3 linked regions of the Saccharomyces cerevisiae S288C genome follow. Changing the gene in region 2 together with the main gene of any one other region gives a genetic interaction. Each region holds a gene or a part of one and is shown on either strand. Other genes may lie near its edges.

Region 1 (7,321 bases), on a different chromosome or scaffold from region 2:
AAAGCTCACTGTTACGCCTGGAATCCGTTGTAATGCCGGTGATCTTTACTGCATTGGCGTTGTTTACCAGGATGTACAAAATCGGCATCAACAACCATGTTGTTTGGGATGAGGCGCACTTTGGTAAATTTGGTTCTTATTACTTGAGACACGAATTTTACCACGATGTCCATCCTCCCCTAGGAAAAATGCTGGTCGGGTTGTCTGGTTATTTGGCAGGCTACAACGGTTCTTGGGACTTCCCTTCTGGGGAAATTTACCCAGACTATTTGGATTATGTTAAAATGAGACTGTTCAACGCGTCATTTTCCGCGCTCTGTGTGCCATTGGCCTACTTCACTGCCAAAGCTATTGGATTTTCTTTACCAACAGTTTGGCTGATGACCGTGTTGGTTTTGTTTGAAAACTCGTATAGTACTTTGGGCAGGTTCATTCTTTTGGACTCCATGCTACTTTTCTTCACTGTCGCATCGTTCTTTAGTTTTGTTATGTTCCACAACCAGAGGTCCAAGCCGTTCTCTAGAAAGTGGTGGAAATGGCTGTTGATCACTGGTATTTCTTTGGGTTGCACTATTTCCGTCAAAATGGTGGGTCTATTTATCATCACTATGGTCGGTATCTATACTGTGATTGACTTATGGACCTTTTTGGCAGATAAATCCATGTCATGGAAAACCTATATTAACCACTGGTTGGCAAGAATATTTGGTCTTATTATCGTCCCCTTCTGCATTTTCCTATTGTGCTTCAAAATACATTTTGACCTATTATCGCATTCTGGTACAGGTGATGCTAACATGCCATCTCTTTTCCAAGCAAGATTAGTGGGTTCTGACGTCGGACAAGGCCCCCGTGACATTGCTCTAGGTTCCTCCGTTGTTTCCATCAAAAACCAAGCTCTTGGAGGATCTCTATTGCACTCACATATACAAACTTATCCAGATGGGTCCAACCAACAACAAGTAACCTGTTATGGTTACAAAGATGCTAACAACGAATGGTTTTTCAACAGAGAAAGAGGCTTACCATCATGGTCAGAAAACGAAACTGACATCGAGTATTTGAAGCCAGGTACCTCCTATAGATTGGTACACAAAAGCACGGGCAGAAACTTGCACACCCACCCAGTTGCTGCACCAGTGTCAAAGACACAATGGGAGGTTTCTGGTTACGGTGACAATGTTGTTGGTGACAACAAAGACAATTGGGTTATTGAGATCATGGACCAAAGAGGAGATGAAGACCCTGAGAAGTTGCACACATTGACCACCTCTTTCCGTATCAAGAACTTGGAGATGGGCTGTTACTTGGCTCAAACCGGTAACAGTTTGCCCGAATGGGGTTTCAGACAACAAGAGGTTGTCTGCATGAAAAACCCATTCAAGAGGGACAAGAGGACCTGGTGGAACATCGAGACCCACGAAAATGAAAGGTTGCCACCAAGACCCGAAGATTTTCAATACCCAAAGACCAACTTCTTAAAAGACTTCATTCATTTAAATCTAGCCATGATGGCCACTAATAACGCTTTGGTGCCAGATCCAGACAAATTTGATTACTTAGCTTCCTCAGCATGGCAATGGCCAACTTTGAATGTGGGTTTGAGACTATGTGGCTGGGGTGATGATAATCCAAAATACTTCCTATTGGGTACCCCAGCTTCCACGTGGGCTTCTAGTGTTGCCGTCCTCGCATTCATGGCCACGGTCGTTATCTTACTGATCAGATGGCAAAGACAATATGTGGACCTAAGAAATCCATCTAACTGGAACGTTTTCTTAATGGGCGGGTTCTACCCACTACTAGCTTGGGGCCTACACTACATGCCATTCGTTATCATGTCTAGAGTCACCTACGTTCATCATTACTTGCCTGCCTTGTATTTTGCACTGATCATTTTGGCGTACTGTTTCGACGCCGGTTTGCAAAAATGGTCCAGATCTAAGTGCGGCCGTATCATGCGGTTCGTCCTATACGCCGGATTCATGGCACTTGTAATTGGTTGCTTCTGGTACTTCTCCCCAATATCATTTGGTATGGAGGGACCAAGTAGTAACTTCCGCTACTTAAACTGGTTTTCCACTTGGGACATTGCCGACAAGCAAGAAGCATGAATTAAGATCATCGTAGTAAGTACATAAGTAAAAAACAAGAATTAAATAAAATTTCTATATCAACCAGCAGAAGAAGTGGTCTATATAAACCACTATATAATGAATTTCGATAAACACTCTTTAATTGTTAACCAGGCTGTTCTCCTTACTCATCTTTGCGATCCGATGCTGTTTTATTACCCTTCTATTTTTTCCTTTCTGCATTTTGATTTTCGCGAATAATGAAATTCTTGATCTTTTTATCAACAATGAAAAAAAAACTGTAAACAGAAACTGATAATTTCTTGAACCCTTTAGCCCACCCCAACCGTACTCGTGTTATTCGCTCGTTGATTTACGCGAACCTTTTTGTTTGCTTTACATAGCCTCTAGCCATTCAAAGATTCGCTACCCTGAACCATGGAAATATTTAGCCAGAAAGATTACTACCCGACTCCATCCTCAAATGTTATTAGCTATGAAAGCGATTGTGTATCCAAACCAGTGAATAGTGCAGACCTGCCCGCGTTAATTGTACACCTTTCTTCCCCTTTGGAAGGTGTAGACTACAACGCATCTGCAGATTTTTTCCTTATTTATAGGAATTTTATAACGCCTCAAGACTTACACGACTTACTCATCTATAGATTTCGATGGTGTATTAGGGAGATCACAACAAATGCTGCAAAAGCTAAGAGAAGGCGAATTGGTGAAGTTGCCCTCGTGAGGACGTTTGTGTTGTTGAGGCATTCCATACTGAATTATTTTGTGCAAGATTTTTTACCGAACATAACATTAAGACTTCGGTTGATCGAGTTTCTAAACGACAAACACATTGAACAGTACCCAAAAATAATTTCCAGCTGTATAATCAATCTGAAAAAAAACTGGGTGCATTGTTCTAAGTTGGTTTGGGAGAATATTGAACTAAATGAACCTGATAAATTAGACTTTGATGCATGGCTGCATTATTCGTTAAAGGATTTCACGCAACTAGAAAGCCTACACAAAAGAGGAAGCCGACTGAGCATTTACGCCAGGCAAAGTTTTGCCAGTCCTGATTTTCGTAACCAAAGCGTTTTATCATTATATAAAACTTCTGATGTATTTAGACTGCCGGAGAAGCTACAGTCTTCAAATTCTTCCAAAAACCAGAGAAGCCCTTCTATGCTTTTATTTCCCGATAATACATCAAATGTTTACTCGAAGCACCGAATAGCGAAAGAACCTTCAGTTGATAATGAAAGCGAGGACATGTCAGATAGTAAACAAAAGATCAGCCACTTGTCAAAAGTCACTCTAGTATCCACACTAATGAAAGGCGTAGACTACCCGTCATCATATGCAGTCGATAAAATAATGCCTCCAACACCGGCTAAAAAAGTTGAATTTATTCTGAATTCCTTATATATTCCTGAAGATTTAAATGAACAAAGCGGAACGCTTCAAGGTACATCGACGACATCATCTCTAGATAACAATAGCAACAGTAATAGTAGATCTAATACATCTTCAATGTCTGTGTTACATCGCAGCGCTATTGGTCTTTTAGCTAAGTGGATGAAAAACCATAATCGCCATGATAGCAGTAATGATAAAAAATTTATGAGTGCTATTAAACCAGCAAACCAGAAACCTGAAATGGATGCGTTTGTCAAATACGTTGTATCAATATCATCTCTCAATAGAAAATCTTCCAAGGAAGAAGAGGAAGAGTTTCTTAACTCTGATTCTTCTAAATTTGACATCCTAAGTGCAAGAACCATAGATGAAGTGGAGTCCCTACTGCATTTACAAAACCAGCTGATAGAAAAAGTTCAAACACATTCGAATAACAACCGAGGTCCTACAGTTAATGTTGATTGTGAACGTCGGGAACACATACATGATATAAAGATTTTACAACAAAATAGCTTTAAACCGAGTAATGATAATTTTAGCGCTATGGACAATTTGGATCTGTATCAAACCGTAAGTTCAATTGCTCAGTCAGTCATCTCTTTAACTAATACTTTAAACAAGCAACTGCAGAACAATGAATCGAATATGCAGCCATCACCCTCGTATGATGCACTGCAACGAAGGAAAGTAAAAAGTCTCACGACAGCATATTACAATAAAATGCACGGTAGCTACTCAGCAGAAAGTATGAGGCTCTTTGATAAAGATAATAGTTCTTCACGTACAGACGAGAATGGACCTCAAAGATTGTTATTCCATGAAACTGATAAAACCAACTCAGAAGCGATTACAAATATGACACCAAGGAGGAAAAATCATTCCCAATCCCAAAAAAGCATGACTTCTTCGCCTCTGAAAAATGTTCTACCTGATCTTAAAGAATCGTCTCCCTTAAACGATAGTAGGGAAGACACAGAATCAATAACATACTCATACGATTCCGAGTTGTCATCCAGCTCTCCACCCAGAGATACTGTAACGAAAAAGTCAAGAAAAGTCAGAAACATCGTGAATAATACAGATAGTCCAACTCTAAAAACAAAAACTGGATTTTTAAATCTAAGAGAGTTTACATTTGAAGATACCAAGTCTTTAGATGAGAAAAAGAGTACTATAGATGGCCTTGAAAAGAATTATGATAACAAAGAAAATCAGGAATCAGAATATGAGAGCACAAAAAAGCTGGACAACTCACTCGATGCATCATCAGAAGCCAATAATTATGATATAACTACAAGAAAAAAACATTCATCTTGCAATCACAAGATCAAACAAGCAGTTGTAAGACCGGCTAGTGGAAGGATCAGCATTTCAAGAGTTCAAAGCATTGCCATAACACCAACCAAAGAGTTATCCATAGTAGATCCTGAGCAAAACAAGTCAAACTCAGTTATAGAGGAAATAAGTGAAATAGAACCTCTCAACCTGGAATATAATAAAAAAAGCGCGTTGTACTCTGATACATCGTCCACCGTTATCAGTATCTCAACGAGCAAGCTTTTTGAATCTGCTCAGAATAGTCCTCTAAAACAAACTCAAAATCCACAGAGAGAATTTCCCAACGGGACCAGCGTGAGTGAAACCAATAGAATCAGATTATCCATAGCACCCACAATAGAATCTGTTGTAAGTGATTTGAATTCGATTACCACTGGTAGCACAGTTGAAACTTTCGAAACGTCCAGAGATTTACCAGTGCCACACCAAAGGATAATAAATTTGAGAGAAGAATATCAAAGGGGTAATCAAGATATAATCTCAAATACTTCTTCATTGCATGAGTTAAAAACAATTGATTTAAGCGATTCCAATAATGACCTAGAAAGTCCAAGTACCCATGCGAAAAACAACAAGTATTTTTTTTCACCAGATGACGGTAGCATTGACGTTGCTTCTCCAATGAAAAACGTTGAAGAGCTGAAAAGTAAATTTCTGAAGAACGAGAGTGAAACTAATAGTAACATATCAGGAAGTGTATTGACAATGGACGATATCGACATTAATGACACATCTAGTGCCCGGAACACACGGAGAGCAAACTCTGAGTCGGCTTTTACAGGCTCCTTGAATAAGAAAAATTTAAATGAAATTGCTAATATGCTCGATGATTCAATTAATGACGATCCAATAACCGTGGCATTAATGAAACTGGAAGGTACATACGAGAAAATTCCCGAAAAACCAGAGAACACCAAGAGTAGTGACGCTATTGGAATTAAAACGAGCAAGTTAGCAGATGAAGTGGAAATGCTAAACCTTAACAACTTGCCGTCATTCCAAAATAGCCCCGCAGAAAAAAGAAAATCGTTATTAATAGAAAGAAGGAGACAAACTATAATGAATATCCCCTTTACTCCAGATCAATCCGAGAAGGAAGGCTTTACTTCCTCCTCTCCTGAAAAAATAGACGTGTCAGCTAATGTTGATGTTGCTGTGCAAGCGGCGCAAATCCAGGAATTAATCGGTCAATACAGGATTCACGATTCGAGATTAATGATTTCTAATAATGAAAGTCACGTTCCATTTATACTAATGTACGATTCCCTGTCTGTAGCGCAACAAATGACCTTGATAGAGAAGGAAATTTTAGGAGAAATAGACTGGAAAGATTTATTAGATTTAAAGATGAAGCATGAAGGCCCACAAGTTATAAGTTGGTTGCAACTACTAGTAAGGAACGAGACCTTATCTGGCATTGATTTAGCTATATCCAGATTTAACTTAACTGTGGATTGGATTATATCAGAAATACTTCTTACCAAGAGCAGCAAAATGAAAAGAAATGTCATTCAAAGGTTTATACACGTTGCAGACCACTGCAGGACATTTCAGAACTTTAACACATTGATGGAAATCATTCTAGCCTTAAGTTCTTCAGTTGTTCAAAAATTCACTGATGCATGGCGTCTGATTGAACCAGGCGACTTACTGACTTGGGAAGAGCTAAAGAAGATTCCCTCGCTAGACAGGAATTATTCTACAATAAGAAATCTACTTAACTCTGTGAATCCACTGGTGGGTTGCGTCCCTTTCATCGTCGTATATCTTTCGGACCTATCAGCAAACGCAGAGAAGAAAGACTGGATCTTAGAAGATAAAGTAGTGAATTACAATAAATTCGATACGAACGTTCAAATAGTCAAGAATTTCATTCAAAGGGTTCAATGGTCCAAGTTTTACACTTTCAAAGTTAACCACGAATTGCTGAGTAAGTGTGTTTATATTAGCACATTAACACAAGAAGAGATTAATGAACTATCCACATGAGGTATTGTGCCACTTTCCTCCAGTTCCCAAATTCCTCTTGTAAAAAACTTTGCATATAAAATATACAGATGGAGCATATATAGATGGAGCATACATACATGTTTTTTTTTTTTTAAAAACATGGACTCGAACAGAATAAAAGAATTTATAATGATAGATAATGCATACTTCAATAAGAGAGAATACTTGTTTTTAAATGAGAATTGCTTTCATTAGCTCATTATGTTCAGATTATCAAAATGCAGTAGGGTAATAAACCTTTTTTTTTTTTTTTTTTTTTTTTGAAAAATTTTCCGATGAGCTTTTGAAAAAAAATGAAAAAGTGATTGGTATAGAGGCAGATATTGCATTGCTTAGTTCTTTCTTTTGACAGTGTTCTCTTCAGTACATAACTACAACGGTTAGAATACAACGAGGATATGTCCGACGAAATTGTTTGGCAAGTGATTAATCAAAGTTTCTGCTCTCATAGAATTAAGGCACCTAATGGTCAAAATTTT
Region 2 (4,389 bases):
AATTTCGGCGATGTCATGATTCATCAGGTAATCCATACTATTGAATTCTGTTTAAATTGTATCTCTCATACAGCATCATATCTACGTCTTTGGGCACTATCGTTGGCGCATGCGCAATTATCTAGTGTTTTATGGGATATGACAATTTCAAACGCTTTCAGTTCTAAAAACTCAGGGTCGCCTTTGGCTGTCATGAAGGTGGTTTTCTTATTTGCTATGTGGTTTGTTTTAACCGTTTGTATCCTAGTTTTCATGGAAGGTACTTCCGCAATGTTGCATGCGCTACGTTTGCATTGGGTGGAGGCAATGTCCAAATTTTTTGAAGGTGAAGGATATGCGTACGAGCCATTTTCATTTCGTGCAATAATAGAATAATAACCTTAAATTACTGTAAATTTTCTCATCTACCCACTGCTTTTTTCGTTTTATTTTTTTTTACACATACAGACATATAAACGTTGTAGAATTAAACGATAAAATATAATATTTCTTCACATAGTTTACGGTATATATATGTCTGGGTCGGTCAAGTGGTCTACCAATAGGTCATAAATTTGAGCAGGGATCTTAGCGATGAACCCGACGCCCAGCCGAATGATCTCGTCAGCATCAAAATCCGGAAACTGTCGTAGTAAATTAACAGGGGAATCCGATTTGAAAACCTTGGATCTCATTTTAACTAGGAATGCCACCACAAAGAGAATATTCATATGGAATCCATATGCAAACATGAAATCCCACAGTTTAATGACCTGATCAAGCGGTTTATTGCAGCTGGATAACGTGAGTATGGAAGGCATACCATAAATCTCTGCTGTAAGTAAATTGTCCGATAGAAATTTACTCAGCTTTGGATCAATGATTCTGAGAGAAATATCTAGTAGTTTGGCGCCGTTCTGGGCGCCGTTTAGGTTCTTAGTTAGATACGTCGGTATCATTTCATAACAAAGCTTAGTGAAAAGTTGATACGCCATAGGTTCAGAAGGACATGAGTAAAGCAGAGGAGCTAATAACACGTTCATGCCCTGCACATATGTGCTCACAGGAATGCGACCAAAACGAGTCTTTTGTCTTCTTTGTTGTGTTTGCCAAGCAAAGCACGACAGACACCGGATGAGGGCATCCTCTGAGACTCTATTTCTAAAGTTTGGATCCGTCTGAAAAGTTCTGGATGTGTCGTTCTTGATTTTTTGGTAAATGGTTGTGGAAGGTGGGCCCAGTTTCAAGAGCGCAAGGTACCGTTGTGTAGACGCCTCCATAGAAGTTTGAGAGAGCACCGTCCACACGTAACATCGCGTGCGCTGCTGCTGTTTATCTTCAGATATGGGAAGCCCTTCACTGAGTATGAGGTAGCGAAGTTGAGAGAGTGAGGAATGCAGTAGCAGGGGAGGATTTGATATCAGATCTTCAATTGAGGTCATGCAAAAGTTAACAAGTTTAAAAGTCTGTTGTTTCTTTTACCTTTACGTCGTTACTATTATTACTATTATTATCATTTTTTTTTTTTTTTTTTTCAATGTTTAGCTTGGCGTACGTAAACGGTTCCCTTCCGCACGGCGTTTACTGAATTGTCAGGACATAAATTCAAAGAAGAAAGAAGACCTCCAGTGTCATTATAGCATAAGACAGGTATGTAGCAAGAATGAATATGTAAATAAATAGCAAGAATATGTAGAATTTTTAGATTTTATTCGTTTGTTGTTTTCTTTTTTTTTCACTTGAATTTTTTGCCAAACATTATGAGTTGCAACTGATCGTACAATGAGATGACACCAGCTGCAGCGACTCCTCTAAATATGTTGGCACCACAGCCCTTGAACAAGGAATACGCGCCCTCTTTCTGAACAATCTTTCTCAAACAGTCCAGAGCACCGTCGTACTTGATGGTCTGGCCCGAAGTCATCATCATCCTTCTTCTTACCGTATCCAAGGGATACGACGCAGTGGAAGCACCCATGGTAATGACCCAACCTAATAGGAAAGAGGCAACAAAGGACCCCTCTAGAGCCCCCGTCAACAGCACAGGCTTGAAAGAATCGTACAAGCCAAAGTACAGACCTCTGTAGACAATGATACCCAGAACTGAGGGCACAAACCCACGGTACAGACCCAACAACCCGTCCGTTTTCAGTGTCTTCTTATACACGTCTAGCAATCCATTAAACTGTCTTTGCGAGGTTGACTTAGAACCCCTAGCATCCGCTGCAAGCCGCGTCCTTGCGTAGTCCAAGGAATATACAAATAGAAGCGACAAACCACCAGCCGCTCCACCAGAGAAAAGATTTCCAGCAAACCACTTGGCATACCCATCGCGCTCTCTGTCGTAACTCAACAACGACTTAATTTTGTCTTTGAAGGCAAAATTCAGCGCCTGCGTGGGGAAATACCGGAGAACATTGGCGGTGTTACCCCTCCAGAACGACACAATACCTTCATGAGTCGCAGTCCTCTTGAAGCAATCTAAAATTCCCTTGTACCGTGTATCCAACGAGCCCTGTTTAAGCATCTCTTCTTGATTCTGCATCAACAGTTTCACCCGTTCAATGGGAGCGGCACCCGTCTTCGCAATGGCAGCAGAAACGCCGCCCATAAGGAAGTCCACACCGAAGTGTGACTGCTGAGTCTGTGTTTCTGTGTGAGACATTACTGCTGTAAAAAGGAAAAATAGAAAAGAATAACAGATACGAGAATCTGTGCTGCCTTCTTTGCGATAATGCCTTGGCTTGCCTATTTCACGGTTACAGGAATAATAACATGTTCATACCGTTTCAGGACCAATAAATGGTCTTCTGCGAGAGAAAAAGGACACTCTCCGTCCGACAGAAATAAGCTTTACTTTCCGGGTGCGAATCAGCCCGTTGCGCCTGGGGTGGTCCCTACAGTACGCTGAGTCGCCGATAAAGACCCTCCGCCTAGAGCTAGGCGAGGCTGACTTAGGCAGGCCCAACAGGCAAGGCCCATCTTCAAAAGTGCACCCATTTGCAGGTGCTCTTATTCTCGCCAATTGCGACAGAAAATGAAGGATGCACTCAAACAGTCGATCCTTCGAGGGAGTATGCCAAGGCCTCGTGCATGTAGTGCGATTATATATATATATATATATATATATATATGTATGTAAGCAGGCCATGCCCTATAGCTCTTGTTCTATAAGCGATGGATAGGCATAGGAAACGAAGAGGACCCCAGTGTAAGGAAGAGTAGCAAAAAATTAGAACTAGATGACTAACGCTTTGCTCTCTATAGCCGTTTTGCTTTTCTCGATGCTCTCGCTAGCACAAGCGGAGACGCACACGTTTAATTGGACCACTGGCTGGGACTACAGGAACGTTGATGGGCTAAAGAGCCGTCCCGTGATCACCTGTAATGGCCAGTTCCCATGGCCAGATATAACGGTCAACAAAGGTGACCGTGTGCAGATTTACTTGACCAACGGAATGAACAACACCAATACTTCTATGCATTTCCACGGTCTCTTCCAAAACGGAACCGCCTCTATGGACGGTGTGCCCTTCTTGACGCAATGTCCAATTGCGCCAGGCAGTACTATGCTTTACAATTTCACGGTGGACTACAATGTAGGCACCTACTGGTACCATTCACACACGGACGGTCAATATGAAGACGGGATGAAAGGTCTTTTCATCATCAAGGATGATAGCTTCCCCTACGATTACGATGAGGAACTTTCTTTATCGCTTAGTGAGTGGTACCACGACTTGGTCACGGACTTGACGAAGTCGTTCATGAGTGTTTATAATCCGACAGGTGCTGAGCCCATCCCACAGAACTTGATTGTTAACAACACGATGAATCTGACATGGGAAGTCCAGCCCGATACGACGTATCTTTTGAGAATTGTCAACGTGGGTGGGTTCGTTTCGCAGTACTTTTGGATCGAGGACCACGAAATGACCGTGGTCGAAATCGACGGTATCACTACCGAGAAGAACGTAACGGATATGCTTTACATCACTGTCGCTCAGAGATATACAGTCCTGGTTCACACTAAAAACGACACGGACAAAAATTTCGCCATCATGCAGAAATTTGATGACACCATGTTGGATGTCATTCCAAGTGATTTACAGCTGAATGCAACCTCTTATATGGTCTACAACAAAACCGCTGCGCTGCCCACACAAAATTACGTGGATTCAATTGATAACTTCTTGGACGATTTCTACTTGCAACCGTACGAGAAAGAAGCCATCTATGGCGAGCCAGATCATGTGATTACCGTTGACGTTGTTATGGATAACTTGAAAAACGGTGTGAATTACGCCTTCTTCAATAATATCACCTATACTGCACCAAAAGTTCCTACTTTGATGACCGTTTTGTCTTCAGGTGATCAAGCAAACAACTCCGAAATCTACGGTTCAAACA
Region 3 (6,075 bases), on a different chromosome or scaffold from region 2:
AAGACCATCAAAGGTTTCATTTGAAATGCAAAGGGTAAGTTCGTTGGCAACAGGCAAAAGTACTATGCCGAAACTCAGCGACGAAGAAGAAGGTATTCTTGAAGAGTCTATTAGGAATGCCGAAACATTTGATAAAATTTGCGTTTTACTGAGCAAGCCTAAATTAGAAGTCGAAAGCTACCTAAACGAATTAGGAGAATTTAAGGTAATTAATAGCTGAGTTAAAATTAGAGAAATTCATTGTCCATCAAAATGTTTTTTTTTTTTTTTAATATTACAACTTATTTCCGTAAATAAAGATAGTACACACGAATCCAAACGTTTATATAGTTAGCTCTGTGAAAATTTGATTTAGGTTCATCTCTTGGTGTGTTTGGTAGAGGTGGTTTCACACCCTTCTCTTCTGTCTTGCCTTCTAATGAATAACTGAGTATTCTTTACATACTTTGTTTTTATTAACCACTAGTTTGAATATATATTCGACTGAAAGGCAATATCAACTATTCAATCTTTAACATTTTTCTCGAGCCCTCATTGTCCACATTTTCACTGGATTTGTTTTCATCTTCAATTGCATGCTTTTTGGGCGATATTACACTTTGCACTGAATTGCTATTTATGTTTGATAACCTTAACGGCATTTTCTTACTTAGATTTGGTATTTCCTTCAATATGTTCTCGATCATTTCGTCTTTGGTAGCGTTTTCCTTGTTACCATAGTTTTTCATTATGTTTTCAATCGTATTATAGATATCATCCACATTAGTTATATGAGAGTGTGTTGATGTTATCGAATTTTTAATGTTATCTTTCAACATGTTATGCTTGTTAATAAGCTGCTCAAATTGATCATTAAATTTGGTATTGTTCTTCAAAAGGGATATAGCGTTCTCCGATTCTTCCACTTGTCCTTTCATGACTGAAATAGACTCATTCATCGAATTTGATGATGTATCAACAGTACTCTTGATTTGCGATAGCGTCGCTGCCATGCTATTATAGAATTCGTTATTCATGGAGTCACAATCATTTATCAGATCAAATGAATTTTCCCATTTAACGCGCTTGGGTTCAAACAGATCCATTTCTTGATCAATAACCGCGCTGGTTGCAGTTGTCAGATTCTGCATTATTAGTTTTTTATTTTCGTCAAGGTGGTCATTTAGGACCTTTTTAAAGTTCTCAACAAACTCGTTTGTTCTCTTCTCAATATTTTCATAAGTAGAATCCACATGACGATTCAGTAATTCTTGATGGTTATTCTTGAAAAAATGGTTTTTTAAGTACTGTTTCATGTTGTTATTTTCTTCGCTAATATCAGAAAGATTCTCGGCTATATTTTTATAAAATTTTTGGAAATCTACTCTTATTATGTCGATTTTCTCAATAACAACATTGAAGAATTTAGGAGATTCGTTTAAAATTTTCTTCACACAGTCTTTGTACATTAGTTCAGCTTTTTCTTGCATGGTTCTCATAAGAGTCAGTACTTCATTTTTGATCATATCAAGATTTGGTTGGATATTAGTCTCTTGAAGAATACTTTCCTGTTGCATAGTGTTTAATTGTAAAAACAGTGTAGATTTCAATTTTTTAATTTCTTTAGTAATATGCATTTCAAACTTTTGATTAAGGTCAAGTTCTCTTTTTTTGTAATCATGTAGGGCCATTTGCATTACCTCAGTCAACTTCTGTAGTTTGTTATTAAAATCGGATATTTCAATTTCAGTTTTATGCTGTTTATCTAGTTGTGCCCTTAAATGATCTATGGTAGTTTTCAATGATTCTATTTGGCAATTTTGAGATTGAATAGTTTCTTTTGACTTCAATTTATCTTTTACTAGCAATGCATTTTTCGATGTCAAACTTTCAATTTCTCTTTTACATTCTTGAACTTCATTTTTATAACTTTCTAAATCACTGTTCAAATTTTTGTAGTGATCTTGGCTCATATATATTCCTTCTTTGGACTTTGTAGAGAGTAAATCGGATTTAATCTTTGCTAATTCCATAGTTATATTTTTAACCAAAATATCCTTCATTATAAATGAACCCAGTTGCGGCTTGTTCTTAATGTTTTTAGCCTTCGAAGCATACTCTAATGTACTGCAGGTTTCTTCAGAAGTTACCTTTGCAGGCGATATAGTAGCAATTAGTGCGGTTTTCGTATTACCACCCAGGGAATCTTGAAGCAGGCGGGTCAATTTCGATTCACGGAAAGGTATATGGCCGCTTTTATCTACGAGTGCGTTTATGACCCTGCCCAGCGTCAATAGACTTTGGTTGATTGAACCAGCTTCTTTGGCACGTTGATTTAATGCTCCGGATCTGTTGATGTTTTCTGAACCAGCTAAATCCACAAGATTCATTTTGGAAATTCTAAATAGTTCATCCTGATGCTTCTTATACAAAGTGATTGTAAAAATGGTATGAGATCTACTGGAAAAATCGTTCATTTTAGTGGACGCTACTTGCCTATGCTTTAAGCCTTTTTGTAATAGGTTTAGCCCCTCCATAGCATTTGTTATGTGAAATTCTTGCAAATTCTGGATGTATATACCATTAGTTTGGTCATTTGGAGCCATCGAACTTCTTTGACCGTTATTTGTGTTGGTGTTACTAGAAGCATTATTAGTGGTAGAGCCAGAGTTAGAGGAAGAGTTGTTCCTGGAATTCACTGCCTGTTGTTGTTGATACTGTTGCTTGATGGTATTCGGCAGTGATTTTGTCCTTAACCTTTTTCTTAATAGAGCAGCTTTAGGTGTTAGATCATTTAATGACCTCGGAGAACTGTTCCTAGAATTACTCCTGGAACTACTAGCACTGTTGCTAGTGGTATTATTTGCTGTGCTTGAATCAAAAATCCTCAATTTTTTCATAAATTGGCCGTCAAAGCCAGTATTACTAGAGCCGTTGCTATTGCTGTCCAAGAGGTCCTTCAATTCTTCGTTGTAGAGTTCAATGAACGAACATTTTACTACGTAATCGTTCTGTTGTAGTTCCAATGTGTCAAACAACTTCAAAAGAACCCTCGGTATAATTCCTGCTGCATCGCTCAATTCACCATTATATAACTTTTCGTCGCCCGTCATTGTATATGTTTTACCTGTTGACGTCATACCATATACCAGTACGGTGCAATTGTAACCTTTAATGAAATCCTGGAATAATGGGCCCGCCACTTCATCAAAAATTAGATCCTGGGAAGCGCCGGGACCGAAGACTTTGTCCACTGTGTATCTCTTGGCATTCATTTGAGCAGTTATACCGGTATCTCCCGTCGTGTTAATGGAAATTTCTTTAGAACCTGTAATATCTGGAACATTTACCACAACGGAGCTTTTCATACTAATTTCCCTTTCATTCCTTCCTCTGCATCGCACAGCTACAGTGATGTTCAGTTCCTCATTAGGAACAGTGTGACATCCAACCTGAGAGTTGCCATTTTTACTGATGCTGTTGGAGCTTCTATCTTGACCCGTATTTTGGTTTTCCGCTGGCATCAAACAAATTCTTTCTTGTTGTATTTTTTGCGCTTTTATATACTTTTTATTACTTTTTCCTTTGAATTGCTTGCTTCTGTATCTATACTCAACGTTACTTTCTGGCCATACCATAAGTTCTACACCCGCTGTTGAGAAGCGGGTCACAAAGGAAGTCTTTAGATGATGTTATTGTTGCGGCCTTGTTTGTTTGTTTTGTTTATTTCGCGTACCTAATACATCGTCACCACACACGAAAACGAAAACATTTGATCAGATAAGTGATCTGCAAATAAGATATAATAAAAGTAACAGTTATTTATTTAATTAAAAACGCAAATATGTAGTAATACGTGGGACATATAAATTTCATGAATTAAAAAAAAAAAATGAAATTCAGATTGAAAATAATGGGGATATAAAAAAAGTGGACAAACGATAGTGAAGAGGGACTCCGACTTGTAACCTCGAGACGCCTAAGGAAAGAAAAAGAAAAAAAAAAGCAGCTGAAATTTTTCTAAATGAAGAATTAAATAATATTCAATTTATCAAGAATATCTCTCACTTGATCAAAGATTAAATCGGTCTTTGATCCAATGAATTCATCCATGTTCAATTCTTGCTTGAAACCAGATGAATGGGACTTTTTGGTATCATTCCAGAAAGCGGACAAATCTTGACCACCACCGTTGTAGATTAAAACATTTGGAGTGTCTTCAGGGATATCGAACAAAATGTCCTTTGTACTGTAATGAATTAGCTTCTTTTTCAATTGCTGAGGAGTCAAAGAATCCTGGCCCAATTCGAAAAATTCACTATCAGAACCTGGTTGCAAAGACAAAAAGTAGGTCAACAAACCAGCAACGTGAGGGGAAGCCATTGAGGTACCCGATAAAGTGGCGGTGGCGTCATCACTTCCAATGTAGGTGGACAAAATGTTTAAACCTGGGGCGAAAACGTCGACACACTTACCCCAGTTGGAAAAGTAGGCTCTGTCATCGCTCAACGTGGAAGCTCCGACGGTGATGGCCTTGTCAGCAGAAGCTGGGGAGGTATTACAAGCGTCTTGGTTTTCGTTACCAGCAGCCACGGCAAAGTGAATACCGACTTCAACGGCTGCATTAACAGCCAAGTCCAAAGCTGGGGACTTGCCACCACCAAGCGACATATTGGCTGTGGAACCTTTGAACCCCTTTTTCTTTTCTTGGGCTTCTTTTTGGTGCGCCTTTGCGGCATATTCGACACCTTTGACGACATCAGACATGGTACCAGACCCGTTTGATCTCAAGACTTTCACCGCAACAACGTTGGCATTTTTAGCGACACCGTAGTGTTTGGAAGCGATAGTACCGGCACAGTGGGTACCGTGGCCGTTACCGTCGAGATCTTCGTCGTTAAGTGGGATGGTTTTCCCCCAAATGGCTCTCTTTTCGAAGTCCTTGTGGTTGATGTTGACACCCGTGTCAATAACATAGGACGTGACACCGCGACCGGCATCATCATCGTAGAGATACTTGTTGAAGGACCCCAGGTTGAGGCGCTCTCTGTGGGAAATACGGGCCAACCCCCATGGGGCGCTATTTTGAGTGTCAAATTCTGTAGCCTCGACAATAGAGTCTCTCTCAACAAAGTCTACTAATGGGTTTTGACGTATCAAGTCGACAATCTCTTGGGTGAAGTAACCGATGTAACCGGAGAAAAGATTATCGATGTTGAATGAGTCCTGGATACCGCCAGCCTCAGAGGTGGACAAGGAGGTGTCTTTAGTAGAAATGAAGAAAGCGTCTTCGGCAGATAAGTTCTCTACGGATTGAAGTTGTGCCTGCTGGACGTTTTCCTTGTGGAAATCGATCTCTTCTTGAGGGGCACCTCTCTTGAAGACTATAATGTAGCGGTTGGGGATGATCTTGGAGATCGCGTCTGGGTTGAATTGTGCAGTGGACACGAGAGGAGCCAGCCTGTTGTGGTGCCTCCCTTTCTCCAACGTCTTTTCGTGGTGCTTCTTGCCCTTGACTTTCTTACCTTTCATCTTCTTCTCCTCCACCTTATTTTCGTGGCAGCCACCCTTATGGTGAGGCTTCTTCTTCTTATCATCATTATCATCATCATTGGAACTTTCATGCTTAGGCTTCATGCCCTTTCCTCCCTCGTGGGCGCTCCCATGAGAGCCACTTGCACGTTTACCGTTGAATTCCGGAGACTCCTTGTCTTGGCCCTTGCGGCCCTTCTTATGGAACTTTCCATGTTCTTTATCTTCAGAGTCAGATGGCTCCTCATCATCGTCCTTAGTGAATTCCACTTTTCTGGGTCTCTCGTGGTGATCTTCCTTGTTAATCAGTTCGTGGTGGTCGGCGGCATTTTCAAGATTTGGGATGACCAAAGCAGCAGAGATGCTCCCTAGGGCACCGAGTGTAAATAGAGTATTTTCTAACTTCATCTTTGCTTGTTAGAATTAGGTTTAGTTTGTTTTTTTATTGGCGATGAAGCTAATTGGACTCTTAAGTTTGTATGGGAAGAACTCCAATATAACGGGACGTAACATTGGCCCCCTTTTATATTCATCGCGCTCTTTATCGCGGGTGTGTTTGCCCCC

Evidence for each region. Genes that interact genetically often act in the same process or in processes that back each other up.
Region 1: of BUB2 (region 2) and LTE1, a mutation in one rescues a mutant of the other (synthetic rescue), as found in Saccharomyces cerevisiae (7 studies listed by BioGRID, with this or other methods).
Region 3: mutations in BUB2 (region 2) and CIN8 are lethal when combined (synthetic lethality), as found in Saccharomyces cerevisiae (7 studies listed by BioGRID, with this or other methods).

The regions. Positions count from the first base shown.
Region 1 is NC_001133.9:101,065-108,385, reverse strand, and holds LTE1 (mitotic regulator LTE1), read left to right. Parts: upstream 1-2,513; coding exon 2,514-6,821; downstream 6,822-7,321. Other genes in the region: dolichyl-phosphate-mannose-protein mannosyltransferase PMT2, read left to right, coding at 1-2,114; ribosome biosynthesis protein MAK16, read left to right, coding at 7,241-7,321. UniProt on the Saccharomyces cerevisiae protein: GDP-GTP exchange factor for TEM1, a Ras-like protein, component of the mitotic exit network (MEN).
Region 2 is NC_001145.3:385,601-389,989, forward strand, and holds BUB2 (Bub2p), read right to left. Parts: upstream 1,422-4,389; coding exon 501-1,421; downstream 1-500. Other genes in the region: STV1 (H(+)-transporting V0 sector ATPase subunit a), read left to right, coding at 1-375; ADP/ATP carrier protein AAC1, read right to left, coding at 1,715-2,644; ferroxidase FET3, read left to right, coding at 3,222-4,389. UniProt on the Saccharomyces cerevisiae protein: Part of a checkpoint which monitors spindle integrity and prevents premature exit from mitosis. This cell-cycle arrest depends upon inhibition of the GTP-binding protein TEM1 by the BFA1/BUB2 complex.
Region 3 is NC_001137.3:36,035-42,109, forward strand, and holds CIN8 (kinesin motor protein CIN8), read right to left. Parts: upstream 3,504-6,075; coding exon 501-3,503; downstream 1-500. Other genes in the region: nitrogen permease regulating protein NPR2, read left to right, coding at 1-220; PRB1 (proteinase B), read right to left, coding at 4,012-5,919. UniProt on the Saccharomyces cerevisiae protein: Elongates the mitotic spindle by interacting with spindle microtubules to generate an outward force pushing spindle poles apart.